Schizosaccharomyces pombe: one gene and its partner. The protein of the gene in region 2 interacts with the protein of the main gene of each other region in a biochemical or structural test. Each region holds a gene or a part of one and is shown on either strand. Other genes may lie near its edges.

Region 1 (17,743 bases), 2.8 Mb from region 2:
ATAGATCTATTCGAACTTTTTATGCATTAGACAGTTGATAGGTAAAGGCTCAAGAGGGATATAATCTTCTACGCCATTCATAATACTTAGGTCATTCGGAAATTGCCAAGTCCATCCTTGAAATGCGTTCTCTGGACACTTTTTCCCCTGGCCATTAATATTAGGATGAAAATACAACTTACCAAATTAGTATCCATATATTCAGAAGCCTTTTTCCAAGAACTGATTTCTTTATCTTTTTCCTTCGTATTTGGGGAATCAATCGTATGGTCAATTTTAGTTAACGGATCTTTTTTCTTTGTTAATGAATCAATTTCATCAGAATCAAATGCTAATTCATATGTCAAGCAAGTTTCAGTTTTTGAATATGAAAAAAGTGTCTTGATGTCTTCACCCGTAAAAAAATTCTTCTTTTGGCTTGCATCGGAATCCTACAATCAAGTCAGTATAAAATTTTATAATAAATCACATACTATGAACGAACTTGAAAGCCCTTGCTTAGTATTTTGGCGAATAAAAATGCGCTCATCTAGCATTCCACTGCTGCATAACTTAATATGTTATTCGTAAAAGCGGTCGTACCTTAAAAATGTGTATATACAGACTGGCCGCTTTTGCCCGCTTCTATATATCCTTGACAATGCTTGCAAATCTTGGGCAGGGTTCCAACTTGGTTCGTAAATTATTAACCTAGTGGATCCGGTAAGATTTAAACCGCAGCCACCAGCTTTGCTTGAAAGTAAAAGCACACTAAATTCTTTGAAGCTGGAAGTATTGAAATTGTGTACTATTAAATCACGCTCAGAGAAAGGAGTACTTCCAAGCAATTTACAGAAACGGACATGCAAAATTGATAAAAACAATTCAATCAACTCGAGAGTTTCTTTATATTGGGACACAATAACAGCTTTTTGGCAACCCCTTTGGAAACTTTTAAGTAGCGCAGCCAATATTTGCAGTTTGCTAGAGGAGAGCAACATATTCTCTTGCTCGAATACATGCTTATCTTGCAACTCCGTTGACAAAAAATTTTCCTTTTCATTTCTCAATAAAATGGTGCTATTGCATATCTTGCTCAAGCGAGTCAAAATTTTAAGATAATAGCCCTTCTGATCAACGCTTGACTTGAAACCATCGAGAACATGTCCATAAACATTCTCTTGTTGATGTGTTGGTTTTATGAATAAAACAATGTCGGCTATTATGTTAATACTGATTTTAATATTTGCATACTTCTTGGCGGTAAATGTTTAGCCAGTATATTGGCTTTCCTCCTTAACGTGAAATTGCTTGTAAATTCAAAAAGCTAAAAATCAGTATAAAATTTATCTTTAGTAAACAAACCCTTTGAAGTCTTGCAGCTCCCAATGATATGTCCCTAGAGGAAGCATTCATTGATCTACTCCTTAATATAGGCCGCTCATACTGAGCTTTAAAAGAATTTGGGGTCCCCAGAGATCCAGGAATTATAAAGTTAACCATAGAGAAATATTCTGACAAATCTGAGCGGTTAAAATTAAATAGCATTCACTGATTCATACCGTTTTGTAAAGGCGTACCAGTGAGAAGAAGCCTCTTTCTAGTTTTTAGCTTATTCAGCGTAATCCAAGTCTGACTACTCATGGACTTCAAGCGGTGAGCTAAGATTAATAAACTATTTATGAACAAATCAATACCTTCGTCGCAAATTAGAAGATCAATATCAATCCCGCATCCATAGTTTCTCAAGTACGTACAAACCTTTAGCAATTAGAAAAAAGAATAAATAAAGGAATTACCGTTTCATATCCTGTAATGATAATCGAATAAGTTTTGTTCGACGTAAATTCTTGGAAATCTTCAGCGCATCTAGCTATATAAACATGAATACGCTCGTGACCGAGCCAATTATAAAACTCATTTTCCCAATTCTAGCCATTAGTAATGAAGTTTTGAAACTTCTTACCTTCAAAAGAGTGACAGGTGCTACGACCATTGCATTGTTTATAGTCGAAGAACGATTGGCGTAATAAGACTGCTCTAAATAATAAGATTAGAGAATGAAAGTTAAAAAAAACCCTAAGTCTCATACTCAATAAAGTCCAGACAACTGTTATAGTTTGCAACGTTTTTCCTAAGCCCATTTCATCAGCCAAAATTGCACTATATCCACATTTTCCTTCCATTCCTAATAAACAGTCGTAAAGAAAGGAAACTCCTTCCCGCTGATGAGAATAAAGATGCTTTGAAAGGAAAGGATCAATAACAACATCTACATGCGTCCTGTAATGTTAGATCAAGCATTCACTTTTACCATACCTTGGATCCCAAGTCTTGGGCCTGCTCATCACCAAAGCTCCAAGCACAGTAGGATCATGCCTCGGTTTGGGTAGTGCTGATATTGTCTGGTACATTGTGTTAGGTCTCAAAGGTGGCTTGAATTTACGCTTCATTTCAGGCATATGAACGTCTCGGAGAGAATCATCTATATGTGTGCCTGCTTCATAACTTTCTGCAGAGATTTCCTTCTCAATCTAAAGATGATGAGAAACATTCGCTTACATGTATATCTTACAGATATTTCTTTCCCGGAAATGCGAAGCAATTCTCCTTCTTTGATTTGTGGCACCCTCGAATGACAGGATCCGAGTCTTTAACATATATTAATAAAAAATATCTCTCAATAAAAGATGCTATATTGTTTGCGACTTCATTTTTAGTAAGTTCGACATGTAGGAATACCTTGTAAAATCTGAATTATAAAGAGTCAAATTTGAGTCTTCTCTAACGAGAAAGCCATCCCCTTCCCATGTTTTATGTTTCTTCATAGTAATTTTTCTCCTGACGCGTTTAGTCATGAAGTCAAAAAAGAGATTGTGCTACCATACCATACAACATTGTAATAAGCAATTTTGTTTATGTCGATATTTGATTTTCCTTTATGTTCATTTGCATTTTCAGATACTTCGTGTGAGGTAGTTGCTGTTTCTGTTTTGGTATAATTAGTAGATTGATGTTTTATGGTAGATTCAATTAATGGACATTGAAAAGTAGCTCTTCGTTTCATGTTCAGATTTCAGTTTTAATAAAGTAAGGTTTCAATTCTCTTTGGTAACTGTGTTTATTTACTCAACAATACTATGAGACCGAACGTGTGGTGTTCAAGTTAGACAAATGCAAGCAGTTCTGAAGCATGCGCGTAAAAATCGGTTAGTAATATTTTGCACTTCTAGGTACAATCATCATTTTGAACGTAATAAACATTAATAGTATCACACGTACTAAATTAAGGTCTCTTGCTTCTGTTCATATAATTTTTTTTATTACTAATTAACTTTCATCATGTTAAAGCAAAAAAGGCGGCAATTTGTAACTTATCATTAAATTTATAGCGTAAAATGTTTTAAATTAAATAAATTATCTACAATTTGCAAGAATGAATTCCCGCAAAATGTTTCTATTCAGGTATTGTTTCTTTTGACTAACAAGAACAGTTTCTGAAAGGTAGAATAAACAGCGATGAATATGGGGGTATTCAACTAAATTTGTCCATTGTTATCAACAAAATTTGCGAATGTTTACTTTTAATTAAACAAAGTTAGCGCATAATGCTTAGCCTGTTGTTATCACTTTTTTCTCAATCGTTATTAGTAAAGACAGGTTTCTTAGTTAATAAATTATATTAATTAGTACTGTTAGTTGTATGTTGCATCTGTAGTCTAGTGGTTATGATTTCTGCTTTACACGCAGACGGTCCCAGGTTCGATCCCTGGTAGATGCATCTTTTTTCGAAAAGCTGATACAATCCAACTTTTTGCGTTCTAATATGTATAAAAAAGATTGGTATTTACTGTTAATTTTGTAAAATTAATTGCGCACATAAATGAATAATGATGGGGAACAGGGATAGAGCATAGTCTTTCTAAATTTTTAAATTGAATTAGGATTTGTAAACTTAGTACACTTTTACTTCATTCAATGTTATTGTTTATCCTTAGTGAAGTCAATCAGGTAACAGGTAACATAAGCGATTTGTTTACATTTCTCATACAAGCTTTGGAATCCTCAATTCCTAACTGTATGCGAACGTGAGCCATAAAATGAGTCTAAAATCATTTTTCAACTTCAATAAGAAGACAAAACTGCATGACATAGAAGAGGATGTTATATCTGAAATTGGTTCTGCTGGTTCAGCCCTTCGAACAGATGCGCATATGCTGAAAGCAAACGATGTCTATTATAAAAGTGAAACGGTAAGAGTAATATAAAAAAAAATTACTAAATGCAAAAATTTCAAGGATAGTCATACTGTGCTGAGATTTATGAAACCTTCAGAAAACGAAAAAATCCATCCCGTAAGGCATTCGAAATATGAAGATAAAAGCAAGTTGCCTTTTGAGACAATACCAGACCCAGTGTTAAAATATGTGAAAAGAGCAAGGGATGCAGAGCTGCAACCACAATTGGCCAAAGTATCTCAGAAGCTGTTTGCAGATATATCAACTGCCACAGCAGCTGAAAAACTACAATTCACAGTTCCACGTAGAGCCAGATTTGAAATTAATGATCCACGAAATCCAACATTTTCAATGATGGCGCTGCAGGATATTATATCTGTCCTTGAGTATCGAAGAAATAAAAATCCAACTTCTACTGCTCATATTTGTATCGATAAAAAAGGGAAAGAAGCTGTGAGTTACAGTTGGGATAAAATCCTGAATAGAGCTAAACAATTTGCGTCTGTTGCGCAAAATCACGTTGGACTTAAACCTGGAACCAGAGTAATTTTATATTATCGAAAATCGGAAGCTTCAGAATATATTATTAGTATCTTTGGCTGTTTGTTGCTTGGAATAGTAGTAATTCCTTTGAGTCCTTCCTCATCTTCAGAAAGTCTCAAGTTGGTTGTCAATGAAGAAAAAGTTCGTGTCGCATTTACTACAGAGGCTACTTATCGTATCTTCATAAAAGATACAGAGGTGAATAATGCAAAAAGCCTTGCATGGTGGAAATCAAACGACTTTACAAACTACAAATTTGAACAAATCAAACAGTATCGGATGCGTGCGAATGACACAGTTCTCATTGATTACACGTTCAGCTCCTCGACCTATAATGATATTAAGGCTGTTTATACCACGAAAACATTTTTAAGTCAGATGAGAAATCTGACATCGTCCATGATAACCAATCCAGCTCGTCAAGCTGGATGGAAGCTCCATAATTTTGAGGATTCGAAAGATGTTCTCATTACCAATTTCCATCCATCTATGCCATTAGGATTGATCATGGGGGTATTCAACTCTGTGTTTGCAGGATATTGTACCATCTTTTGTGATGAAGAAGTACTAAAAACGCCAGGTTTATTAGCATATTTAATTACTAAATATCGATGTACATACAGTTTGTTTGATTATGCTGGACTGAAGCAGACAGTGTACAATTATCAGGAGGATCCTAAATCTACACTTTCATTTAAAAAAAATTATACACCGAACCTTTCGTCCTTGAAGTTGTGTATGGTTGAATGCGAAGTAGTAGACCCGGAATTCAACATTATAGTCTCAGATAGGTGGTTGCAACCTTTAGGTACCAATAATTCCAAAGAGGTAATCACTCCGATATTATGTTTGCGAAAGTTTGGTGGAATACCTATTTCATTCAAAGACTGGATGATCAGTTACACCAACAGACAGAAACATGAACGGCAAATGGCCGATACTTGTTATCAAGAGATCTTGGTATTAAAGAGTTCAATAGAAAAGGAAAAAGTGGAAATTGTTCCATTTCTAGATATCCGAAAATATTCTCCTAACGAAGTCCTTTGCATGTCTCCCTTTTGGTATCCAATCCCTGAGGCATCAGTGGCAGTTGTTAATGAAGATTCGAAGAATATATGCAAAGTTGGTGAAGTTGGAGAAATTTGGGTTTATTCTGATTGTCTTCCTAAGTTGAAAGCTGCTAGCGTGATTAACAACCCACAAGGGGAACAATTAACTGATTACGAAAACAACCAAGAAAATAAATTTGAAAAGAATAACTCATTCATGGATAGTGGTCTAAAAGGATTTTTGCATAACGAAAAGATTTTTGTTCTTGGAAACAAAGATGAACAAATCAGGCAATATCGGAAAACAATGGTCGCTGATAAGTTAATGGAAGAAAAATATGTACACTATTCTCATTACTTGATTAAAAAAATCATGAAATATGTTCCCGAAATTTTTGATGGTGTCGCCTTTGAAATAGAAATCGACAAAGCAGTTTACTCCGTTTTAGTACTTGAAAGTCCAATTATTAAGCGTTCGTTAATTCGAAATAATCGGCTTAAAGGAAGAGATTTGTTCTCAGAGTTGGTAAAAATAACAGAGAGCAGCTTCCAAGTCACTCAAGACATATTCAAATTAGATGTCCTAAGCATACTTATTGCTCCTTACAAATCATTACCTCGATCCAGGTATATGGGAATCCAAGCAATCAACACGAATAAGTGTAAACTGGCCTTTTTGTCAGGAAATCTTCCTGTATCCTATGTTAGGTTTTTCATGGATTCAGCATTACCAAAATCTAAAATTAATTTAAACAATTCAAAAGGAATTTGGTCAAAAGATGCCTCCAAACATCATAGAGAGATTATCTCTTTAAATGTTAAACAAAAGATGGATCCGTACAAGCATCAAAACAAAGTTAGTAAAGCACGAGAAAATCTGCTTAATCACTTTACTATCCTTGACTTTTTAAAAACCAAATCTGCAAAGACACCAACTTCACCTGCCATATTAACCTTTAATGCTATCGAAAAAACAAAAGTAGAGTTGACTTGGGCCCATTTTGAGCTGAAAGTTGCATCTCATGTTGAATATATGCAGTTATCAGTTAAAGCTAAAGCAAGATCACATATTTTACTTCTTTATTACGACCCATTAGAGTTTTTGATCAGCATACATAGCTGCTTTCACCTAGGGGTGATACCAATACCGTTTCAAATTCGTGAAATATCACAATTGATTGGGGAAATAGAAGAATTCACAAAAATTGCAAAGGCCTTCAATGTGGAAGCAATCCTTGTTGATCATAAAGTTCTTATATCTTTAAAATCCAGGGATATTTCAAATCACTTTCAACAAACTTGCATTGACCTCAACATGAAGGCACCCAAAATATTTGAAACTACTGGAATCCCCATTTCAAAACGTGCAAAAAAAGCATTGAATCTAATAACCCCGGGGGAATTGAATAATAAAGGGAAAGTCGCGCTAATTAGTATTAATAAGCTGGAAGATGGTTCCATCATCCCAACGCAATTTTCTCATTCTAGTCTTCTGGCATTTTGCCATGAACAAAAAGAATTTGTAATTGGAAATGAAGAAAAACCAATCATTGGTGGGATTGAATTCTCAAGTGGAATGGGCCTATTGCATACTGCCTTGCTTGGAGTATATGCAGGTAAATATTTTCAAAATGTGAAAAAAATAATTAACGCATATTATAGGAGTACCAACTTTATTGATAAAACAAGAAAACTTATGTAACAATGGTAGCCTGCTTTTTGAGGCTATCGAGCAAAACTCTTTATCAAAGGTTATGATTCCACTTAACATTTGTCAGAAAAGCTTTTCAACAGCTCAAGGTTGTAATAGCATTGTTATTAACTCCACTTTGTCAAGCATTATTGTGCCTTGCTACGACAGACCAATAAGTTCTAGAGGTAAGTAGGAAAACAGAAAGACGCATTTACTAACAAGACCTAGTTAATAGTATAATTGAAGATATCGCCAGAATTGGACTAGCTCCCAACAAGGTAAAATTGGCATACTCTCATCCGATCAATCCTTTCGTTTGTTGGAATGCGGATTCGAGCATGGAAAAAATGAAGGATTACTTTGATGCCAATCAGCTAAGAAGCGGTCTCGTAAACGTAAGAGAGGATGTCCTAAGAAACAGACAACCACTCCTTTATGGGTCCGGAACTGTACGTGAAAAGTATTAGGCAGCAATTTACTAATTAATATAGAGCACATTATACAATGAAATATGCATAGTTCACCCTGAAGAAAAATACATATGTCAAGAAGGAGAAATTGGAGAAATTTGGATTAACGGAAAGCACGGCTCATATTGTGAAAACAACGAACTCAACTCTGGATGCGAGCTTCTAGTGCAAGAGACATTAGATAAAAAGAGCTATTCGAGAACAGGGCAGTTAGGTTTCATTCATCATTTGAAGAAAAAAGACCAGAATATGGAAAAAGTTCCAGTTTTATATACTTTAGATTTCATATGGAATACGCTCGAATTAAACGGGCTTAACCATTCCGTAAAGGATATTGAAGAAACAATCGAATTAGTGCATCCCAACATTTGCACAGATGGGTGGTAAGTAGCATCACAAACTATAGAGGCTAATGTCACAGCATATTATTTCAAGCGTCAGGATCCGTAGTAATTCTTCTGGAAGTACATAGTCAGCAAAAATTCGCTAGCCTAATACCAATTATTGTTGCTACGGCTTTGGCAGCACATGAAATCATACTTGATTGTGTTGCCTTCGTACCGAAAGGAACATTTTTGCGTCGTCCAACTGGTGAGAAAAGGAGAGCAGACATCCTAAAACAATGGACTGGAGGAGACCTGTAAGTGATCTTTATTAATGAGAAGCCTAAATAACAATATTTTAGGAAACACATGACAAGCTATTTAATTCGACAGGACTTTCTTCTCAACGAAGATTTTGTAGGTACTGAGTTGATTGGAACAACCGATTCTTACGATTACTCGGATGAAAACTTAATAATCAATAGTTCCCAACTTAATCTCCTTTAGATCATTAGCAAGCCAGCTTATCGCGTCTTTGATATTAAGGCCCGTTAATGCTGAAACCGAAAAAATCCGCCAATGCGATGATTTATATTTAGAAATATTTAATATCTTGACTTGTTGTTAGCTTGGATTCATAAATTGTAAACTGACTTTGCTAATTTCTTCGGATGAAAGTGCGCCGGAAACGTCAGACTTATTAGCGAGAACCAAAATTGAAGTAAACAAAAGTTTCTATATGCATGTTAAGATAATTCACATTTTCAGCCTACCTCTTCTACCAACAATTCTTGTAATGTATTTCTGCATTCTTCTAAACGTAAATCATCCAAGCTGTCAACAACCCAAATAATTGCTTCGGTTGATTCAAAGTAATTTTTCCAAAAATTTCTTAGCGTTTTCTGCCCCCCAATGTCCCCTTGAATTAGTAAGCTTAAGACTGTTCATTTCGAAAATTGCAAGCTACGTACATATCGTGAATCGGAGTCCTTCTACTTCAAGCGTTCGAATTTGAAAGCCAAAGGTAGGCGAAACTTCATTTACCTATCAATCGATAAATTATGGAGCCTTAAAAGATACTTACATCCTCGTTCAACAGGCACTTCAAAATTGTCGTTTTACCTGCATTATCCAACCCCCTAAAGTCATTAGATTTCACTCTGTATATATTTGAATCATCTTACAGTAACAAAACCCTGACTTCTCGTTCCTTTAGCTTTTGCTGTCTCAAAATAGTCAATAATCCCATTTCTCAATAGTAGAGTAACCAAGAAATAAGAAAATATGCGATGAATTTGCCTTGCATTGCGTTACTCAACAAGGGCTTAAGCTATCAACTTTATAGAAAGATATTACTGTTTTACGAACGATTGAACAGAATAAATTCAAACTACATGTTGTCTTTTAAATATAGCACAATACATAAATCGTTATTAACTATATCTATTACATAATGAATTTAGATAATTTCTTCATAAAGGTAGTATCCTTCTAATAGGAGAATGTTAATGACTGGGTGAAATTTGATGCTGCTTGGAGGATGACTTTATTAAATTTGGCCAAAGATTGTTGCATTTTTCGGCATCAATGTTTGAAAAAACCCGTTTAAAAACATCATCATACCATGCAACAGGGACACCAGTTAAACCTTCTTTAACATAATCAGGAAGTTGTTCCCAATCGGCTAAGTTACTTTTTGGAAATAGTATTTCTTTCATACCAGATAATTTGGCAGCAACCGTCTTTTCTCGTAAGCCACCAATGCGTAAAATTTTACCGGTCAAGGTTAGCTCACCAGTCATGGCAGTAGTCGCTGGTACCGGAGTATCCAATGCTAAAGAAAGTAAAGATGTAGCCATTGTGATACCTGCTGATGGGCCATCCTTAGAAATGGAGCCTTCGGGACAATGCATATGCAAACGCGCATGTTCAAAAAATTTATTATTTGGAAAATGCTTAGACAAAAAGCTTTTTGAAAAGGAATACGAAATTTCAGATGACTCTTTCATCACATCTCCCAGTTGCCCCGTCCTTTCCAAAGAGGGAGTAGAATTGGATGATAAAATGTTTTTAACAATAGTTTCTACATACATCGAAACACCTCCCATGGGTGTCCAACCAAGTCCCATGACAACACCAGGAGGAGTAGTGTCATAAAGTCGCTGAGAAGTATAAATGGGGGGACCCAAATATTTAGTCAAGTCCTTTTCTTCAATCTCGATATTAACTTTATCGGGAACTTTTAACGGAACAGATGATGCTTCTTTGTTTGCTGCATCTTCTGATGATTGAGGAGATGTTTTCTTTCCCGACTTACCCGTAGACTTCTCTTTAGAATTTAATTCATCGTCAATTTCTTTAACAATACTAAAAGATGTTTTACGAAATATTTTCTCAATAGATTTTTTCAAATTTCGTACACCGCTTTCATGAGCATAGTAACTAATTAAACCCTTAATAGCGTCATCACTGATATTCACATTAGCATCCTTTAAACCACAAGCAGCTTTGGCTTGGGGTATAAGATAACCTTTAGCAATGTTAACTTTTTCAGCTGAAACATATCCAGATAGTTCAATAACCTCCATACGATCCAACAAAGGTGGAGGAATAGTATCAATGGTGTTCGCCGTGCAGACAAATAAAACAGATGAAACATCGAGTGGAATATCCATATAGTAATCTAGGAAAGCTGAGTTCTGTTCTGAATCTAAAAGCTCTAAAAGTGCACTCGCAGGATCCCCTTGATGACTTTTGCCCACTTTGTCTATTTCATCAATAAGAATCAAAGGGTTCTCAGTTTGCACCTTTTTCAAAGCTTGCACAATTTTTCCAGGCATTGCTCCGATATAGGTACGACGATGTCCTTTGATTTCAGCGACATCAGTCAGACCGCCCACACTGAAGCGAAAGAATTCCCTGTTTAAGGCAGATGCAATAGATTTTCCAACAGAAGTCTTACCGACACCTGGCGGACCAACTAAACACATAATCTTTCCTTGCATAGTTCCTCTTAGCTTACCTACAGCTACTAACTCAAGAACACGATCCTTAACATCTTTAAGCCCATAATGATCTCGATCAAGGACTTCCTTTGCATGATCTAAATCGAAATTTTCAACAGACCTCTTTCCCCAAGGAAGTTGGGTTATCCAGTCCAAATAATTACGAGTAATGTTAAATTCAGCAGCCATTGGTTCTAAATGCTGAAATTTGGACAGTTCATCATTGAAAACCTTTTTCACGTGATCAGGCATACTCAAGCTTTCAGTTCGTTTCTTGAACTCAGTTACTAATGCTTCTTTGCTATCAAGTTCTTGTCCAAGTTCTCTTTTAATTTGCTTTAGCTGTTCGGTTAAAAGATATTCTTTATGGCGTTGAGTTATCTTCTGCTCAATTTCCTTGTTAATTTTATGCTGAAGTTGGGCATTCAATAGTTCCTTTTTTAGTACATACAAAGCCTTTTGCAAACGATCTCCTATATTTGTAGCTTCTAAAACCTCCTGTAATTCGCGATGATCTGCAGCCGAAACAGCGGCAGCAAAATCTGCCAATTTAGCAGGTTCATCAAAAACATTGCCAGACGTTTGCGATATTGAAAAATTGGCAATTTGTTCACGAAAGAGGGGACTAACGTTTGCAATATCTTTGAAAACATTCATAATCTCAGACGTTACCGCCTTAATTACAGGATCCTGTCGTTTAAAAGGTTCATTAGGAACGTTTTCGACATTAACAAGAGAGACTTTAAAGTTTTGAAGAATTGAGGGTGTGCTTTCAACTTCCTTTTCAGGTTCCTCTTTCCCATTGTCTTGTTTGAGATCAGACTTAACTTCTCCATTGGAAGAAAGATTAGAGCTTTTATCGGTTTCAAGTTCTGCTGCGTCTGAAGAAGCAGCGCTATCAGCATCCTCTTTTGGAGGTATCAGTTCAGTTATTCGTATCCTACGGTGAGGGTATAAAACAGCAGTCAATGCAGGTTCACTACCACTTTTTGCTGGAAAAATACTGGTGATTTGAGCGAAAACACCGACCGGGTAAACCTGATCAATGTTCGTTATAACATCGGTATCAGTGTTTTCATCCTTCAACAAAAACGCGCCGATATAAGGTTGTCTCTTTTTAATCAGTTCTTTAATGGCCTCTGAAACAGAGGGATTTTTGGTAACTATGGCTTTATAAAAACCAGGGAAAAGAGGTCGTCGCGCAATGGGTAACGCAAGTAATTGAGGATACACATCAGGAACCGAATATTTGGCCGGAACATTTTTATTAAATTCCCCATTTAAAGGCATTTCATCCTCATTTTCTTCACCACCTAATTCAAATTCGTCATTTTTAGACTTAGAAGCTTGTGTAGCAGAATACTTTTCCTCAGTCTTATTTGAAGAAGATTTCAAATTTTGCTTAAAATCGTCATTATCCTTTTTTTTCTTTTTATCCGTAGATGGCAAAGATTCGTTGGTATGTGACTCATCTTCATTATGTGTCTTTTTGGGATCGTTTTTGTTATCCAGTGGTTTGTTATCTTTTGGTTCTTTACTTTTGAAAACAACATTTGAAGTACGAAAAGGTCCGACTGAGCATTTTAAAACCCTCTGTGTAGTGGAAAAACTAGCAAGCAAAGACCGATGAACCAAATGTTCACGAGGCCAATTTCTTTTAGCACCTGATCGCCTCAAGCAAGCGCCCGATAAACGTGTAATCATGGGCCTGTACGAATTTAAATTACAAACTGGCACAAAGAACGTTTCGGGCTATTATTAATTTTCTGGCGTATTTAAAGGTAGTTGGTAATTGCTGAGTTAGCTGGTAAGTCGCCGTCACATAATGAGCGCAAAGAGGGAATTGGCTTACTTGCCTCCAACCTCCAATGCTATTAAATAAACCATTCAAGCATTTAATACAATACTCATTATAAAGGAAAAAAATTAAAGTTTCCAATTTTTTCGGCTTCAAATAGTTCAACAGATGAGATATCGAAGCGTTGCAATAGTTTCACTTACTTTACCGCATTAACTTTTATTTTAAATAATTAAGATACCGATCGCTTATCAAATTTTAACCAAAATTTCATTACTAATAATAAGATAATGCTGTTAAGAGCTGAAAACAGCGACGATTGTTTAATTTAATTGTATGAATGGAAACTCACATGCATAAATTGAATCAGTGTAAAAAAACTCAGAAAGCTTCTCATTACATAAGTCTTAGCTGTTCAATTCAAAACATTGAAAGAGCGCATAGCATTTACAGGATATGTAATGATACGTTGCAGAATCAATCGTGTCATATTGCTGCGTAGTATAACATTGTTATTAAAAAACCAAAAGAAACTGTCTTTAGTAGCGTGGCTTGCACACATTAAGAACGTTGAGTTATTTAAGTCAAGATATTTTTAAATTCGAGGGTAAGCTGATAAAGCATTGAAGGATAGAGACTTATTAAATGACTAGATTGTATTCTTTTTACAGATTTTTAAATATTACTAGCATGTTCAGGTAGGAATTGTCGTAAAGTTTGAATCTGAGATTCTTCTTTTTCCGCTAGATCAAGACGCTCAGCCTTGCGAAACTGTTCAATAGCTTGTTTACGCTTTTTTATGTTTTTTTTAAGTACTCGCAGAACGTCTAAGTCTGTAGTAACTGGCTTACTCGACTTGTTTGCATATTCGATTTCCGAGAGAAATACCTAAGCTTGTTAGCGTCATATTCATCTACAAACATAGATAACATAGTTCTGACAGCCTCTTCACATTGCTTGAACACTGATGCAATTTAACATGTAGACCGTCACGTTTTATTTCCAACGTACTTTTAAAGTAGACGCAACATCTTTTTGCCTAGATTTCATGGAATCCAGCAATTTTTTACGAATAACTGCTTGAAGATTTGGGATTGCTGAAGCGTTAGCAAATAAATGACTATTCCTAAGTTTGCTTACATGTACTATTATAGCGTAAGTATTGTACATTACGAATAGCTATCCTTGATGTGTGTACTAAGCGTTGATTAAACATTGAATTCTTTTTCTTGGATTATGTTTTCAGGTCAGACCCAAAAATTCCCCTAAAGGTGGTGTAGCGCAGAAAGTATTTGGTAGTAGGATTATCCCATTTTGTTTGGAGATGTGGAAACTAAAATATGCGAAATCGCTCATTGACAGTGAGGTAACTCCATCAATTTAGCAATATTTATTTATTAGTACAAACTGATTTTAAGATTGATTGCGAAAATGAGACATTTGCTTTCGGTAGATTTTACAATTAAATTAATGGTTATTCAAAATCAAAATTGAAAAACAAGCAATACAGTGCCGGGTAATAACACTTACGCCTACAATTAGGTCCTGCTACCTAAGACCTATAATTTAGTTTCCCTATTAACAGAAATGCTTTATAAAGACCTCATCTTAATATGTTAACAAAAGATAGTTATTAATAGTCTCATTTATTGAACAGCCTGGTGTATGTTGGAGACAAAATGAATTCGCAGTAGTTGAAATGCATAAGTATCCAGCAATCAGAAGCTTTTATGAAAGATTAAATTCATCTTTTTAATGATATGGAGTAATTTTTCTACGACCAACCATCTGGCCAGCGCAGAAAATACCAACTATTTCAACTGCGATGAAAAAATTGCGGCCCCATGCTTCAGAGGATTGACTTTTCCAAAAAAGGAAGGGAGACTAAAAGAGAAATTAGTGGATCTGTTCTTTGTAGCAAATAGTTGCTTACATGAGTATTGGAAGGGGGTGCAATTTTTTGAGAATGATATACTTGTTGAACCAGCTCTTTCGAAACATTTGCCCAGTACATAATAGGTTGTTGTACAGCTAAATTGAAAAAGTTAGTTAAACAAATTAACCGTTATGTTTAAAATACCCGATAATTTTTGGATTAAGGGAGTGAAACGACCCTTGGCTTGTTCAGCAACTGTTTTAGTAGAGTAGTGACTCTTCCTTAAAAAATTGTAATTAATACGAGAGATAATTCGACTTGTGGAAAACATTATACTTCGAAATAGCCTGAATTGGAAAGAGATGGGATTCGGTAAGTTAAGGTTGTGATGAAGTTTCTACTCCCATATACCAATTAAGTAACACCAATTTTTCTCCGTTCATAGGTAATTTCAATGATACACAATATAAAGTAAGTTAAAACAATATAATATTTACTGAAACACACTCGTGATTTCGAAAACGAGAAATTATAAAACAGTGTCAGCAACGTAATATAGCTTTCAAATTGTAGTTAAAATAACAATTGCAAAAACCCTGTTGGGTACTTAAAATAAAATAATCTCCTTGTACCTGTTTACGCCTACATTAATTGTACTCGTGTAGATTTTTATCAGTTTTAAAAAGCCGTACAGCACTTGCTGCATTATTGTTAAACAAAAGATGTAAAGTTAGATATGTCAGGTACCACAGTAACATAAAAGTTTCTTACCACAAATAAAAGTAAAAGAAAATAATATGATTGCTAAAAAATATAAGGCTCTATTATATCAAAGCAATAGTATTTTGGAGTGAATATGACTTTTTTAAATGAACACAAAAACTAAACTAAAACCCAAAACCCTTTATATAAATACTTTCAGTAGCAACAATCTATTGTCCACTGTCTCCAGTAGCTTCATTATGCTTTTTGATAGAGGCTTCTTTTTTTACCTTCTTAATATACTCCTTCTTACGCTGTTCCTTTTGTCTGTCGTAAGAAGCTCTAGTAGTAATCCTCTTTCTTTTAGGAGGACTCTTCTTCAACTTCTTTTTCATTTCTTTACTAGGTTTAGGAAGTGCCATAACCCAGTTTGGAACCTCGCAACCTGATGAACGCATTACACCAGCAATAAGCTTGATATATTCACCATCTTCCTTTGTAAAAAAAGTAACGGCCTGTCCTGTATTTCCTGCACGCCCAGTTCGACCGATACGATGAATATAACTATGAACACTTTGAGGAAAGTCAAAGTTGATGACCATCTTTACACCATGAAAATCGATACCACGAGCAAGAAGATCTGTTGCTATTAAAACCCAAATTTCACCCTTCCGAAATTTCGCAAGTGCTTCTTCGCGCTTGGCTTGTGGTAATTCTCCATGAATGACACCAACGTGAATTTCATCAAATAAGAGTTCTGTGTACAATGCTTTCGCTCTTTCTATATCTTGAACAAATATTACGACTCGAGGCTTTAACTCTCCATTTGAAATCATTTGACGCAAAATCACAATTTTGGAAGTATCCGAACCAACAAACAAGAGTCTCTGATCGATGCTATCCGTGGCTGCATCTTTCAAACCAACGATGATTCGAATCGGATCAACCGTTACGACTTTAGCTAACTCTTCGACGCGTGATGGAATAGTAGCGGAAAAAAGGCTTTTACAAATATTAGAGCTGGTGCATGCACTTAGAATATGATCAGTTTGTTCAATAAAGCCAGGCTCAAAAAGTCTATCAGCTTCATCCATAACAAAGAATTCTACTTTTTCAAAGGACAATCCGGTTTGTATTGCTTGTACTAATCTCATCGGGGTGCCTATGCACATGTCATACTTTTCCCGGAGCTTGGGCGCTTTTTCTTGAATTTTTTCATTAGATTTACTTAATTCAATTATCTTCAATGAAGTTCCAAAAGACAGCTTTTCTGCCTGTCTATATATTTGCTCGCACAGTTCTCTAGTCGGCGCTACGATAATCGCTCTATATCCACCCGGAACATGTAACTGAAGTTTTTGCAAAATTGGGAATAGATATGCAATAGTTTTTCCAGAACCAGTTGGTGCACATGCCAATAGGTCTCGTTTAGAACCTATCGTTGGAATGGCATATCTTTGAATTGTGGTACATTCTGTTATGTTTTGTTTTTTTAAGTTTTCACAAAGTATTCCTTCCGGAAACTCTTCAATTGGATCAACAGGATTATTACCAGTAACTTTAGCTTTTCCCTTAGTAATACCTTGTAATTTTTTTGCTTCTTTTTCTTTTATAGAAGGTTGAGGTACTTTATTCTTAAATTTGACATTAGTTGTCAAAAGTTTCAACGCATCCATTTCCTTATGCAATACTTAATTATCAAAGTTAAAATATTTTAGTAGATATTTCAACGAAGGAACAAAAATAAAAGATTGTTGAAATTTTCAATTATACATATACACGACTAAAGTAAGTATGGTAGCTGCTGGGGAAAGGCTGCACTAACGTCCTCTAGTTAAACCAGTACGTTAATTCAAATTGTGTATTCCAACAGCGTTATTAAATTTATGTATGCTAAGTAAACATAATAAATGTATTCAAAAAAACGCGATTTCTGCGTTTATAGGTTACATATTTTTATATCGTATTTACGAGAAATACTGCTATAGATTTTCTTTCAATTAAATAATTGATTATTTGTATTAATCACTCTTTTACCTATTTGAACAGGACCCTCAAATTAAAGTG
Region 2 (14,285 bases):
AAGAGTTCTGAAATTTTAAATTATGTTTTGTCTACAGAACAGGCTTTTTATACGGTTAATGAAGCCTACCAATGGTTGGGCATTAAGTCTAACACCGAGGACGCCATGGTAGCTTCTGTGGCCTTAGTGAAATTTGAAGATGATAGCGACAAAGCCATCGAGGCCGTCAAATGGATAGCTGAAGAGAGAAATAGCTCCATTTTGTACGATTTCTTGGCTTCACAAGGTAGACCTTCCAACAAGAAGCCTAAAGAAGTGCCTATGGATGAAGATCTAGCTTACAACACATTAGGTGTTCAAGATCGTGCACTATCAGATGACGTTTTAATCAATGTATACGGCTTTGCTGTTGAAGACCACCCAGAGCAATCAGACACTTTGAGAGCAGCTTTGAAATGTATAGGAGAAGTTAGGAATTCGCGTTTAATCACTCATTATTTAGAACATGGAAATCTAGATATTCCACCAGAAGTTTCAAGTTTGGATACTCCGATCGGTTTGGAAAATACTGGTAATCTTTGTTATTTGAATTCCCTGATCCAATACTACTTTATTATAAAACCTCTTCGTAATGCAATTTTGGATATTGATGAAAACAAAGATCTTAATATGATTGAAAACAAGGAAGCTGTCAAGAAAGTTGGTGGACGGATTGTTACTCGAATTGAATTCTTGAGGGCTTTACAATTCACTTATGAACTCCGAAAATTATTTATTGAACTCATTACTTCAAAGTCATCGTCTGTTCATCCTTCTTCAGTACTGACATATCTTGCTTTAATACCTCTTACGTTGGACCAGGTCAAATCTGGAACATCCTCGGTTATGGATTTGTCATCGTCTCGAGAGTTGAGCAATTTGAATGAGAGATCTATCACTATTGACCCCAGAGCAGAAGAGCAAGCTCAAGGGCTTGAACAAGAACAAGGACAGGATGAGGCCAAAAGTCCAGCGGAACAATCTTCATCAGTTAATTTAATTGATTTTCCCATGGCCAATACTAACGGAGAGTCTCAAACACAACCTCATTACTTTGAAGTATCTGAAGAAGAAATAAACTCCTCCATGGATTTAGGTCGTCAACAAGATGTCTTGGAATGTATTGATCACGTTTTGTTTCAACTGGAAGCTTCACTTGGTCGTATTTCCAACTCAGAAGATCGTCTTGGCTCTGATAATGATCTTATACGACGTTTGTTTTCTGGCAAACTAAAACAAACACTAAATGATGCTAGTCAAGGAGTACGGTCTAACTATGAGATTTTTTCTCACTTGATCGTTGACCTTTTCGAGGAGAAACAAACATTGTATGATGCATTGGATGGTGTTTTTGAAACAGTCAATATTGATATGGGAAGCGAAACTGCCCAACGATCCTTGTGTATTACTGAGCTACCGATAATTTTGCAATTACAAATACAGCGTGTCCAATTTGACAGGACTACTGGACAGCCTTTCAAGTCTAATGCATTTGTTGAATTTGGAAAAGAACTTTCCATGGACAGATATGTTGAAGATACTGATGGGAAAATGGCACCTTTACTACAAAGGTACTGGGATCTAAAGCGTGAAATTATCAACCTTCAAAAACGACAACAGCTATTGTTAACTACAAATTCGAATCTAATGTCATCTGTTGATACATTGTCTATTCTATCTAAATGGGCTGCACAGCAGCAGGATTCGAGACTTCCTATTAATCCAAAACTTCCTGATATCCTTCAAGAGGAAATAAACAATGTTGTCGCTGAAGTGGATATGCTTAAAAAACAGGAAGCCAGCTTAAAAGAAGAAAGGACGCATCTTTTCGATAATTACATCAGCCATAGCTACGACTTGCTTGCTGTATTTGTGCATCGTGGACAGGCTTCATTCGGTCATTATTGGACTTACATTCATGATTTCGAAAACAATGTGTATCGAAAATATAATGATGAATATGTTACTGTGGTAGATGAAAGCGAAATTTTTGCTGATACTACGGGCAACAATGCTAACCCTTACATGCTTACGGTAAGTCGTTATTATTTCCCATTTGAGGGAAATAATCATTTTCTCAAATTTTTTCCAGTTTACATATAGCTAACATTTATCTAGTACATTAGGAAAGAGTATCGACACATAATTGAATGTGTTCACCGTGAACACAATCTTCTGCTTTAAAAACTATGTGAAGGGTAAAAACTAGGATGGATCATCCGTGATCAATTGCTATGAATGGAGGTTGGAAGTTGTAACGTTTTTCACGATATTAAAGCATGGAAGCTATGAATTCATATTTCAAAAATCTATTTATACATAAAAATTTAGTTATACTTTATACATCGGTACGGGTTAATAATCTATTAGTCTTTACTATAAAGAGAAAATTTTTCTATGACAAAATTGCAAAAAGTCTAGCAAAAAAATTGAAATGTAAACAAACGGCTTTTATTATTAAAATGGCGATTATCGCAAATTTTATTATAAGTAGTAATCTTTGACAAAAAATGTAATTAATAGATGAAACTAGTAGAAGTTTCCAATAAATAAGTCAATAAATCACTATAGAAGTACCATGGAAAAAACATAAAAGTAGCTGTAGAATCAATAGCAGGTTTTAAGGTAATTTGAACGAGCTTTGTACAAAAATACATCAACAGTGCCGTGAATGTGCCAAGTTATTCATCAAAGAGAGCGAAAAGTAAAATGATGCGTCGTAAAAAAAATCAGGTAGGGCAAGATTAACTAATAAACTAGGTATTTAAAACAAGGATCATCCGCCCATAAACCGAAATAGAAAAAGAGAACATGTTTAAAGAAAAAATGAAAACTATAAGGGAAATAAAATCTTAACACATAAACGAAAAAGTAAGGAGCCGATTATTTTGTAAAGTATACGGCCGCAACTAAAAGAACCTATAGATCGTGACTAAACCACTTCTTCCGGAGACGTTTCACCAGGTGAGTCTGTCCGACTAATGGCATTCTTCATACGGCGTATTCTGATGAACCCAAAGGTGTCTACTAGTACCAAGCACCACCCGATTATAATGAGAATAGAGCCTATAAGCTTCTGATGTGGTAACTCGTCGTAATTGTATTGATCGTCGTTATTCTCCATCCCACTCTCCGAAATCATTATGTAGCCACGTTGAAAAAGAGTTAAACTAAGTCCAATTTGAGCACCATAACGACCCAAATGAGTCGTCGATAAGACATATGTGACAAGAAATCCTACAAAAGGAAAGAGAATAGCGACACAAGCACTCCATACAAAGGAGAAACCAGTTCCAACGGACATCCCATCAATGTAAATCTCGTTAGATCCGTAATCTGGAATTACCATAGTGGTATCCCAGTAAGGAGGGGCGGTATCCGCAGCAGCCTGTTCATAAGAAGGGGGCTCCTCTTCCAGTTCTTCAGTATTAGATTCCACTGTGGGTTTAGCAGATAAATTAGAGAAGACACTATCAACGTGATGGCCATCTGCATGATTTGATGAAGTGCTGGGAATTCGATCATTGCTACTACGTACATGCCCAGAGTCGTTGCCAGGATCCGGCGTTGATAAATGTTGGTAAAAAGCTTCTTCTCCTTCTATTGATGCTCTGGCAGAGCTATATAAAGGTGCTGTTTCACTGTATTCCACATCGTCGTCTGGAGGCTCGAAAGCAGCTGCCAATTCCGATCGATTTGTAGACCGGTTTTCCGGAAATTCAGGTATTGGAGTATGAATTGAATTTTGCTAAAATAGATTTGTTAGACTGATATATCAGGGAATTTAAACAGTATAAAAAGAAGGCTTATCCTTACATTTGAATTAGTACTCATGGGAATTGTGATATCTTTCAACCCGTATATAATGAGGTAAAGTGATTAATGAACGTTCCCAAAAATTTCCGTATTTTTGTTTTTTAACCCACTAAATGCTCTTTGATTTTAAATTAACAGAGTGGTGGAAGAGTACAGGATGGATCGAAACCATGGTATTATTAATGATCGTTACTTGCAAGTAACAACTATATTCAAAATCTGTAGAGAAATCAGATTAAAAAAAAAATATGGGAATTGAGTGTTTTAGGTGACATATCAGAAGCTAAATTCCCGTTATAAATTATTTTTGATATCTATTCTTTTCAATAAACCAAACAAGCCAATTGAAATCAATGGCTTGGGTTATAACAATTAGTGATCAGATATGTATTCCGACAAGAAGTGGTATAAAAAGTCGAAAATGAGAAACAAGGAATCTCAAAGGATTTACTGATATAATCGACTTGGTGGTAAGATGGATGGATGACATGAATGATTAGAAAGGCGTACGAAAGAATATTAAATTAAAAAAAAAAAGCACCAACGAGTGTATGTCAGTAAAAGACCAAGCTAAACCGTTACGTATTTTTACTAATGGATGATTTTGGTGCATACATATAGAATTTTAAGCGTCAAAAAGGTCACTAGTGATACGAAAATGTGGAGACGGGTCAGAGCGTGCCCAAGTAAAATCCAAAATAGGATGCTCATCTTTATAAGAAAAGGATATCTCCTTTGATTCTTCAATGACGGGCGATGTTTTGCATCGCAGGTGCACACGAAGGTTGGTAGAATGGTGAAGACGAAACTAGAAGGCGTTAGCGATATAATCAATCAAAAGAAGGGCCAGAAGGCAAAGTAAAATCAAACAGTAGAAAGCATTATCAATTTTGTTTACACAGCATTGTTGTGATCCATACTAAGAATATGGGATCTAAATATTGACAACCTAATATAATGATAGCAGTCTCTACGTCTAACTAATAGTTTCCATCAAAACCATCGTCTAGATGCCTTCAAATTTATCAAAAAAACTTACTTGGTGACACGATACACAGATTGTTGAGTCGTTAATATCAGAAAGATGGATAGAACCCTGAATGGTTGGGAAAGTAAAGTTGCATTTTGTAGCGTTATGTAAGTTCACAGATGAGCAGTTGGATATGGAAATATTGCATGATCGTAAACTTTTTGCGGAAACTTTGACAGCTTTGTTGTTAGGATATGGAATGACATTATCTCCAATGTTTTGGTTTTTCAAATTTGCCAAGTACAGGGTGTCATTTTCAAAATAAACTTCTGGAGCTTCAGCATTAACTGTAATATTTTTTACCGGTTTCTGGGACGATTTGACGTGCAGTGCCCGTTGAAAGCGAAATGGCTGTCTGGGCAAAATGTCGTGTCGAATTTGCTGAAGCCTTCGTGTCAAATCTACTAGTTGTTCCATGCATACTCTCCTGTCATATGGTGCAATTTGGTCTTGAACTTCATTTAGCTCCCTCGTCATTTCACCTAAATATTTTGACTTTTCTTCAAGCCAAGTCTCTTTTTCGGAGCGAGAAGTCTGCTCACTAGGAGTGGATTTATATAATTTGGTAAGAAATTCTACAAAAAAGTAGTTAGTAAATAGCACAACAAACAGACCTTTCGATATGAACGAAATTGCAGATGTAAATAAACCCATACCTTTTCTCAATTCGACGAACTTTTCAGACATTTTTCCTTTTAAATTAGAACTAAAACACCCGTTATATATGCAAAATTAAATCACAGTACGTTATGCTGTGTTCAATGATCATTCAATAAACATATATTTTTTCAATTTTAACCTGCACCAAAAGTCATTCAAACAGCTCGGGAAAAAAAGGATTCTTAAATAAATTCATCAAATCAGTATTAGTTTTAATCTTAACTTCGATACTTCGGGTGCAAAAATTATTATGAATTTTTAAAATTGAAACCAAAAATCCAACTCTTCAAAGGCGAAGTACAGAAGACAGTGCCTTGAAATGAAAATTATCTTCACTCAACTCAAAATGACTTTAAGATTTGGAAATAAACGAAGTTTTGTCGATTTTATCGTTATGAATATTTTTAGCGGCTCTTATCTTTTATCATTGAGAATCATCTTAAATTTACCTGTATGTGAGCTCAACAGATGTTTGCCTTCCATTCCTTAACAACAACGCCCAGCAGCATTTGTTAAGTGTGAAAATTGAAGTTTAACTACTATATTATCGAAAATGCCTCATGATAATATTCCATTTCCTGTTACATTTGCTGCCGGCGCAGTTGCTGGAATCTCAGAGGTAAGGTTTTTTATTTGGAGCACTTTATTTCATTGAAAGATACGTTTGAAGGCTTTCGGAGAAGAATGTTATTATCTTCAAAATGCTCAATGAATTGCGTAAGGTAAAAGAGCTGTCTTGGAGATGAAGGAAAGCAAACGTTTGATTCCGTAGATGCTGAACGAATTACTTCTTTATAAGTTTTATCCCATGTTTTTTAAATCTCTCTTTACCTCTCTTTTACCATTAAAACCTTTAACATGGCCTTGTTTACTAACTCTTTCTTTTTCAGGTCCTAACTTTGTATCCTTTGGATGTTGTTAAAACTCGTATGCAACTGTCCGTTGGTAAATCAGACTACAATGGAACCTTTGATTGTCTCAAAAAGATCGTCAAGAATGAGGGTCCACATCGTTTGTATCGTGGAATTTTACCTCCAATCTTGATGGAGGCTCCTAAGCGTGCATTAAAATTTGCTTCCAACGATACTTATTCAAAGCTGTGGCGTAAAGTCTTCAAGAGAAAGGATTCAAGTCCTGCACTTTCTATCCTCACTGGATCATGTGCAGGATTTACTGAAACGTTCGTAGTCGTACCTTTCGAACTGATGAAAATTCGTTTGCAAGACGTTAAGAATGCTTCTAAGTATAACGGAACTGTCGACTGCTTTACTAAAATTGTAAAGCAAGAGAGAATTTTAGCTCTTTACAATGGGTTTGAAGCCACTATGTGGCGCCATGTCGTTTGGAATGCTGGATATTTTGGTGTAATTCAAAAGATTCGGAATTCATTGACGCCTGCCTCGAGCAGAATTGGTGAAATCCGTAATAACCTTATTGCTGGAACTATCGGAGGAATATTTGGTACATTCCTCAGCACTCCCTTTGACGTTATCAAGTCGCGTATTCAGACAGTTCCTCGTATTGCCGGCCAAGTTCCAAAATATAACTGGGCCTATCCAGCTCTAGTTACAGTCGCAAGGGAAGAGGGTTTTACAGCCCTGTATAAAGGTTTTGTCCCTAAAGTACTCCGTCTGGGCCCTGGTGGTGGTATTCTTTTGGTTGTTTTTAATTCTGTCATAGAGTTTTACAAGAGATGTCTTGTACATAACGCCTCTGCTTAGAGATCAAGGTTTTTTTTGTTTTTCTCTCCCCCTTTTTTTGGTTCCTAAAAAAATTTTTTTCATTGCCGGGTCTTCAGTAAAGGTTGAAAGAAAAAAGTTTCCTACGACTTGAATTCGTGGGCTCTTTTATCGTATTTAGCAATCGCTAAATACGTGTATATTTGTTATCAAAAGTTTTTTGGCTTAATTTTCTCTTTTTTTTGTTTACATTGCATGTATATATTTTCCATCCCTGTTAATCATTTCGATGCTGTGTTAATCGTTAAATTTAGCAAGTCTTTCATGATTGAAGAGTACATATTGATTTAAACATTGACCTTCGAAAAACCGTTGTGTTTTTCTCTTAGATTTGCGATCATTAGTATAAGTAATTATACAACGCAATCTGTTTCAACACTTTTTAGAATTTTTGTTATATGTCTTCATTCCTTCAAATGAAAAAACTCAATCAAGCATCCCAGCCATTTCGGTATATTTATAATATTATATTCTACGTGATTACTACAGTCGTTATTTTTAAGGTGTGAAAAACAAAATCATAGATAATGAAATACATTTATTAAATGGACTATCCAGTTGAAGACCCAGTAGTATTTTTTCGTAGCTCTTTTAACGGTTACTCTTGGCAACACGCTCAAGCTCATCCTTCTTCTTGATGGCGTAAGAGTTGGAAGAGCCCTTAGCAGCATTGATGATTTCTTCAGCCAAGCATTCAGAAATGGACTTGACGTTACGGAAAGCAGCCTCACGAGCACCGATGGTGATAAGAGCAAGAGCTTGGTTGACACGACGAAGAGGAGAAACATCAACGGCTTGACGACGAACAGTACCAGCACTACCAATACGAGTGGAGTCTTCACGAGGACCACAGGCAGCAACAGCATCAACCAAAACTTGGAGAGGGTTTTGGTCGGTCAAGAGAGCAATGATCTCAAAAGCATGCTTGACAATGCGAGTGGCCAAGAGCTTCTTACCGTTGTTACGGCCGTTCATCATCAAACTGTTGGTCAAACGTTCGACAATGAAGCAGCGGGCCTTACGGAACCTCTTGGTCTGGAAACGACCAGCGGTGTGAGGGAGAGGTTGACCATTGCCAATGGTAATGTAATCACTAAATAAAGTTAGAAATTCTGAAATAACATGAAAAGTTGGTGTAAATGAAAACTTTTGTAATTTCCAGCTGCTTTTTCCACATTTGCTCCAAGGTTTAGGTCAAGTAAAACTAGTGAATTGACTGAAAAAAAAAATTACAACAGCATATCCAAGTAACGTATTGTCAGCAGTTCCCTTTCATGAAACCAAGTAACTACAATTGAATTTGTATATTTCAGACAATTCCAAGCACAAAATCTGGAAAGTTTACTAGCAGCTAGAAAACACAATCCCACCTTATACATACACCAAAGAGATATCCTTCACTTCAACACCTTCAAAAGGAAATTTGTTGAACAATTTGATATGTCCAGTTTCATCCAAGGAAACTTCTTTAGGGATGATAGAGGCTGCCATTTCTGTGGTGGTTCAGACGGTAGCTTGTGCAATGTACCTACTAAACCCACACGAACATTTGTGACCGTTCAATAATGAATTAGGGTAGGGTTTATCTGTCGATACTTAATAATGTTTGTTATGTTGAATAAAGTAGTAACTGTTGATTTAACTCAATTGTAATAAATTGTATAATTTTTTACCATTTAGGATTTTTAGTTTTATATAGAAGGCGCTCTATGTTATATTATCTTCACATTTCTACTCTATATGCTGGTATTTTTGGTCGATCGCTGAAGCATGCAAATCGAGGTTAACATAATATTGTTTTGTTTTTATTAACTATTTGAATACTTGTAGCATATAAGTAATACTTCATATACTAGTTTGTAATACTGAGTGTTAATTATATTCCTGATGCAATAATTGCTTGCTTAAAGAATAAGCAATAGCAACATGCGTCTAAATTTCAGCAGACAATTTATTGAATTTAAATTGAACTAATAAATAAAAATATTATATCCATTGAATAGGATAACTATAGAGTTTATGGAATTTCTTGGAATTTAAGCATAATTCATTTATTTATTTATTTATTTTTTTTAATTGTAAGTATAGATGTACCTATTGTTACCCAAAAAAAACTCCAATTTAATAACGAATAAATGATATAAAAAATTGAATTACGGCCTAATTAATTTGGGGTTCTTGTTATCCATTTTTTCCCTATTATACTAGCATATTTTCATGTAATTTGACAGCGCACAATTAGAAACACCCAATTGAGTGTGAACTATTAAACCACCGAAATCTTTTAATTTTTTTTTTCTAATTAAAAAGAAAAAAAAAAGAATTCACCATAATCGCAGTTGTTATACTAGAAAATTATTTTTTTGTTGCCTTTTGGTACTAAAACTCCACACTGACGATAGTAATACAACATAATGCTACCAAGTATAGTTTATTGTAGTCAATATTAGCAGCCAAATTAAAGAAATTAAGAAAAGTTTGAAACGGTCCTTTACTTTGCTTACTTACAAATAATGTGATTAATATTTCAATTCACATTGCGACAAATCTTAGCTCACATTGGATACGAAAAACATTCGACTTTTTGTCAATCTCGCAAACAATTTAAACTAGCAAAAAGGTAGGTAATTTATTTCTTCATTTTTATTGAATTCACAGTTTGCAACTTTTATTCGATGACAATGTACGAGGATTTTGTACAGTACATCAGAATATAGATCTGGAAAGCATGGTCTTGTACTCAGCAATTTGTACACTTGGTTCTTCGAGTCATTTACTTTTCGTAGTTTTCAATTGCCAGCTCACTATTCGGTTCCAAGTTGCTAACACCAGTTGGCGGTAGGAAGGCCATAGAAAATAACTTGCATACCTTTAAGCATTATTTTATTTGTTAAAAAGCAACAAACCTTTCTTCTTCAAATCGTATACCTTTTAAATTTCTTGGATATAACGAGAATCGCTGCATCATGTAAAACAACCCATAATGAAATAATAGGGTAATATTACTGTTATGATTATTTAACAAATTATTGACTACATCGTTATAGATCTTTAACTTGTTGCACTGCTCATCACTACCATTTACACAATCTGGTAAAGCCACCTTGGCTACATCGTTTATCAACTCAGACTGTACAACCTACATTTGTCGCCATGGCAAATTTACCTATAATAGGCATCTATAAGGTGCTGTACAGTTATGAACCGCAAGAAATCAATCCGGGTGAAGAGATTCCAGAAAACGAACGAGAAATCTCGATCGTTGAGGATGAAATTGTTTGTCTTCTTGAGAAAGGTGAAGACGATTGGTATCTCGTCAAACGGAATGTAAACAGTAATGATGACGATGAAGAAATTGGAATCGTTCCTTCAAATTATATTACTGAGGTATGTGTAGAATAAATGACAGAGACCACGGTCTTCTACATGTTTGATGCGATAGGATACGTGAAGGAGAAATAGATCGAGTCTTGTCTTTGCTCATTTAGTAATAATGTTATTGTAAAGCCGCTTGCTAACCATTTTGTGTATAGGCTGAACCCTCAACAAAAATGAAAGCTTTGTATGATTATACTCAACAATCCGTTGATGAAATCTCCTTTCAAGCGGACCAAACTTTAGACTGTTATGGCGACACTGATTCAGATTGGATTTTGGTTGGTTTTAATAATAATTTCGGACTTGCTCCGAGAAACTACGTTGAGGGGATGGATGCGTCCAGCGCCCCGGCATCTCAGGAACCCTCTGCTTCTGGTGTCAACGCTCCAACAGTGAGCGCTCCCAACTCCATGGTCTCTCCTCCACCTTCGTTTCAACCGCCGAGTGCTGCTGCTCCAGCTACTTCCTTGCCCTCTGACTACAACCCCCCACCACCACCACCACCTCCTCCGGCAGTGGAGGATCAGGCGGCAGACGCCAACGAGCCAGATGACTACTACTCCTCTGGCAGAGCCGTGTCTCCTGAGATTCCTCCCACGTACACGCCGAAACAAGCAGATCCTCTTCCGGCTCCTCCCCCACCACCACCTCCAACACTTCCACCCCAATCTACTAATACTTCTCAGCTACCTATGCCTTCCCGTAATGTGAATAATCTTGGCTCCCAAGTTAATATTCCTCCTCCACCGGCCACCCCTAGTCAGCCGCCAAGACCCCCAACTAATGCGTCTACTAGATCTACTGGCACTTCCTCTTCTATGGCTCATTCCTACGACTCCCCTCCTTCTCCTTCGTCGCCTTCAGATGCATATGGAGATCCTAATCAGCATCTCAAATTGCGCACCGATTCCCACGACGATTCTCGAGCCTACGATTCCTCTTCCTCCATGGGTAATCCTGCCTACGAAAAATGGGAGGTCCGTGAAGTCGTTGGCAAGAAAAAGAAACGCACTGGTATTTTAGCAATCAACAATAAGTCAATTGTTCTTACTTTTACTAAGACCATGGACGCTGCCCAAGTTTGGCCCGTTACCGATCTTGTAAATTATTCTTCTGAACGAAAACATGTTTTTATCGAGTTTAATAGTGATTCCGGTATCACATCTTTGCACCTTCATGCGAGCTCTAACACTAATGCCGACAATATTATCCGTGCGCTAGGTGACGTAGCCGGTTCCGCCAGAGCCGCTGGTCTTCGAGAAATCGCTGCCGCAAGTGGAAGCCCTATGCCTAAACTACCTTCAGATTCTGCTTTACACCGATTAAATGCTGCTAGCGATGCAGCTGGTGTAAACGGAGGCCGTACCGGCGATTATGAAATGTCTACTGTTTACGGCGACAGAAGTGCGCGTGCTGAGGACCATAAGCCAAAGGATTCCTCAGCTGGTCAAAAAATGGGTACTGTGCTTTACGACTTTATCGCGGAGGCTGCTGATGAGTTGACTGTGAAAGCGAATATGCGAGTGGTCATTGTCAATGACACAGCAAGTAGCGACTGGTGGAAATGCAGTGTTGATGGTAAAGAAGGTGTTGTACCCAGCAACTTTATTAAGCCCGATACAGAAGGCGACGCAAAGTCACCCCCTTCATCTTCGAAATCTGGTCAGGGATCCTCGCTTTCTAGAAGGGCTTCCAAGCACGAATCTAAACACAAACGCGACAGTAAACATGAAGCAAGACCAGAAAGCAAACATGAGTCTCACCGTGAGAGCAAGTCCGCTGAGAAGGACAAGAAGGACAAGAAGGACAAGAAGGAGGATAGCAAGCGTTCAAGGAGCCATTCGGTTAGTAAACCTGACAGCAGTAAACTGCGTACGTGGACTGATCGAACAGGCGCCTTTAAAGTTGAAGCCGAATTTTTGGGCTATAGCGACGACAAAATTCATCTACACAAAACTAATGGTGTGAAAATATCTGTTCCCAGTGCGAAGATGTCGTACAAGGACCTGGATTACGTTGAATTAATGACTGGCAAGAAAGTTTATTCTCGTACAGAAAGGAAAAAGGATACACAGAAGCAAAGCCATGATCATGGCCATAGTCATAGCAAGTCGCATGATCGTGAGAAGGAGAAAGAGAAGAAGAAGGATAGGGAACATAGGAAGCACAGAGAGACTGAAGAGGAGGATGAAGGTCCACCTCCCCAACCAGCCCGTCCTGAAAGTACTAGACCTGCTCTTGCTCCACCCTCTTCCTCTCATAGCAATGACAAATATGATGTGATTCAGGAAAGGCCCAAGATCTCTTATGACTGGTTTGACTTTTTCCTTCGCTGCGGCGTAGATTTTACCGTTTGTAACCGCTACACCCATAACTTTAACAATGAGCATTTGGATGAAGCATGCATACCTTCTCTAAATCCTGATACACTTAGAACATTGGGATTAAAGGAAGGTGATATCATTCGTGTTATGAATCATGTTAATGAACTCAATGGTGTCTCAACAAAACCTGCATCTGCCATTACTCCAGAAACCAAGTCCACAGTCAACCAAATTATGTCCGGCGGGGAGGCACTTGCTGCCCCAGTCGCAGTACCTGCCCCCATCCCAGCGCCGGTTGCCGAACCTGCTCCTCCAGCAGCACCTGCCAAGGAGGTCGTTGAAAAAGCACCTAGTCCACCAGCGACTCGTCCGAAGTCAACCACACCCCAGAAATTCGATGATGATGCTTGGGCTAACAAACCTGTTACGGAACCCCCTGTTCGTGCTTCTTCTGTCACTGTTGAGCCTGCACGTGTGACGGAATCCATGAACAAAATGAACATTTCTGAGGAAGCCAAGAAACCTGAGGCGCCTTCAAGACCCAGAACTGCACCCATCCCTGAACCTGAGGAACAAAAGAAAGCACCTGTTGAGAAAAAGGATGCGGAGAAGTCGGTCCAAGCACCTATTCCAGCTCAACCAACTGGCAATATTACTATTCAAAATGCATATTTCACTGCTCCTCAACCCATGGCTGCCGATCCATTTCAATCTCCTTTGTATGTACAGCCAACTGGATTTCAACCTCCTCCTAGCGCACTTCCTATCCAACCTACAGGATATATGCAACCAATTCCTGTTCAGGCCACTGGTTATCAACCTTTAATGGTACAGCCCACTGGCTTACAACCCCACATGACTGGAGTTATGCCTCAGGTGACTGGAGTTATGCCACAGATGACTGGAGTTGTGCCACAAATGACTGGAGTTATGCCACAAATGACTGGTGTACAAGTTCAGAAGACTGGGGCTATGCCACAGCAGCCCGTAAACTATGGTTATCAAGTTGCTGGTATGCAACCACAAGCCACTGGTATAATTTCGCAGCCCACGGGCATCCGTGCTCAAGCTACTGGTATAATGACACAACCTACTGGCCTGCATACTCAAGCTACTGGCATGATGCAGCCTACTGGTATGCAACCTCAAGCTACTGGTATCATGCCCCAAGCTACTGGCATGATGCAGCCTACTGGTATGCAACCTCAAGTAACTGGTATCATGCCTCAATCAATGCCCATGCAGCCTCAGATGACTGGTGTGCAAGTTCAAAAAACTGGTATGGTCGCACAACCAATGCTGTCTCAATACACTGGCTACCAGCAAAACTATACTCCTACAGCCATGCCTGCTGCTGAT

Evidence for each region.
Region 1: the proteins of tbc1 (region 2) and alp41 interact in a test that uses a peptide from one of them, tested with the Schizosaccharomyces pombe proteins (one study listed by BioGRID).

The regions. Positions count from the first base shown.
Region 1 is NC_003424.3:689,092-706,834, reverse strand, and holds alp41 (GTP-binding protein involved in beta-tubulin folding Alp41), read right to left. Parts: upstream 9,550-17,743; 5' UTR 9,545-9,549; coding exon 9,480-9,544; exon of another isoform or gene 9,435-9,479; coding exon 9,380-9,434; exon of another isoform or gene 9,340-9,379; coding exon 9,267-9,339; exon of another isoform or gene 9,215-9,266; coding exon 9,069-9,214; exon of another isoform or gene 9,031-9,068; coding exon 8,950-9,030; intron 8,908-8,949; coding exon 8,767-8,907; coding exon of another isoform or gene 8,658-8,766; 3' UTR 8,613-8,657; coding exon of another isoform or gene 8,394-8,612; 3' UTR 8,356-8,393; coding exon of another isoform or gene 7,994-8,355; 3' UTR 7,952-7,993; coding exon of another isoform or gene 7,731-7,951; 3' UTR 7,688-7,730; coding exon of another isoform or gene 7,472-7,687; 3' UTR 7,426-7,471; coding exon of another isoform or gene 4,278-7,425; 3' UTR 4,233-4,277; coding exon of another isoform or gene 4,080-4,232; 3' UTR 3,795-4,079; downstream 1-3,794. Other genes in the region: ATP-dependent DNA translocase Rdh54, read right to left, coding at 7-147, 183-431, 474-543, 583-1,198, 1,234-1,306, 1,345-1,502, 1,542-1,640, 1,677-1,740 and 7 more; mug62 (putative AMP binding enzyme), read left to right, coding at 4,080-4,232, 4,278-7,425, 7,472-7,687, 7,731-7,951, 7,994-8,355, 8,394-8,612, 8,658-8,802; lon1 (Lon protease), read right to left, coding at 9,801-13,004; mitochondrial aspartyl/glutamyl-tRNA amidotransferase subunit B-related Aim41, read right to left, coding at 13,774-13,986, 14,110-14,268; atp20 (F0-ATPase subunit G), read right to left, coding at 14,851-14,982, 15,032-15,129, 15,179-15,305; ATP-dependent RNA helicase Rok1, read right to left, coding at 15,907-17,352.
Region 2 is NC_003424.3:3,488,672-3,502,956, forward strand, and holds tbc1 (tubulin specific chaperone cofactor C Tbc1), read right to left. Parts: upstream 5,902-14,285; 5' UTR 5,513-5,901; coding exon 5,482-5,512; exon of another isoform or gene 5,401-5,481; coding exon 4,835-5,400; exon of another isoform or gene 4,604-4,834; coding exon 4,421-4,603; 3' UTR 3,918-4,420; downstream 1-3,917. Other genes in the region: ubiquitin hydrolase Ubp2, read left to right, coding at 1-2,013, 2,098-2,163; bsd1 (heavy metal ion homeostasis protein), read right to left, coding at 2,912-3,727, 3,796-3,813; odc1 (2-oxoadipate/2-oxoglutarate transporter), read left to right, coding at 6,039-6,104, 6,376-7,206; rps502 (40S ribosomal protein uS7), read right to left, coding at 7,816-8,317, 8,606-8,715; Sla1 family protein Shd1, read left to right, coding at 10,378-10,611, 10,758-14,285.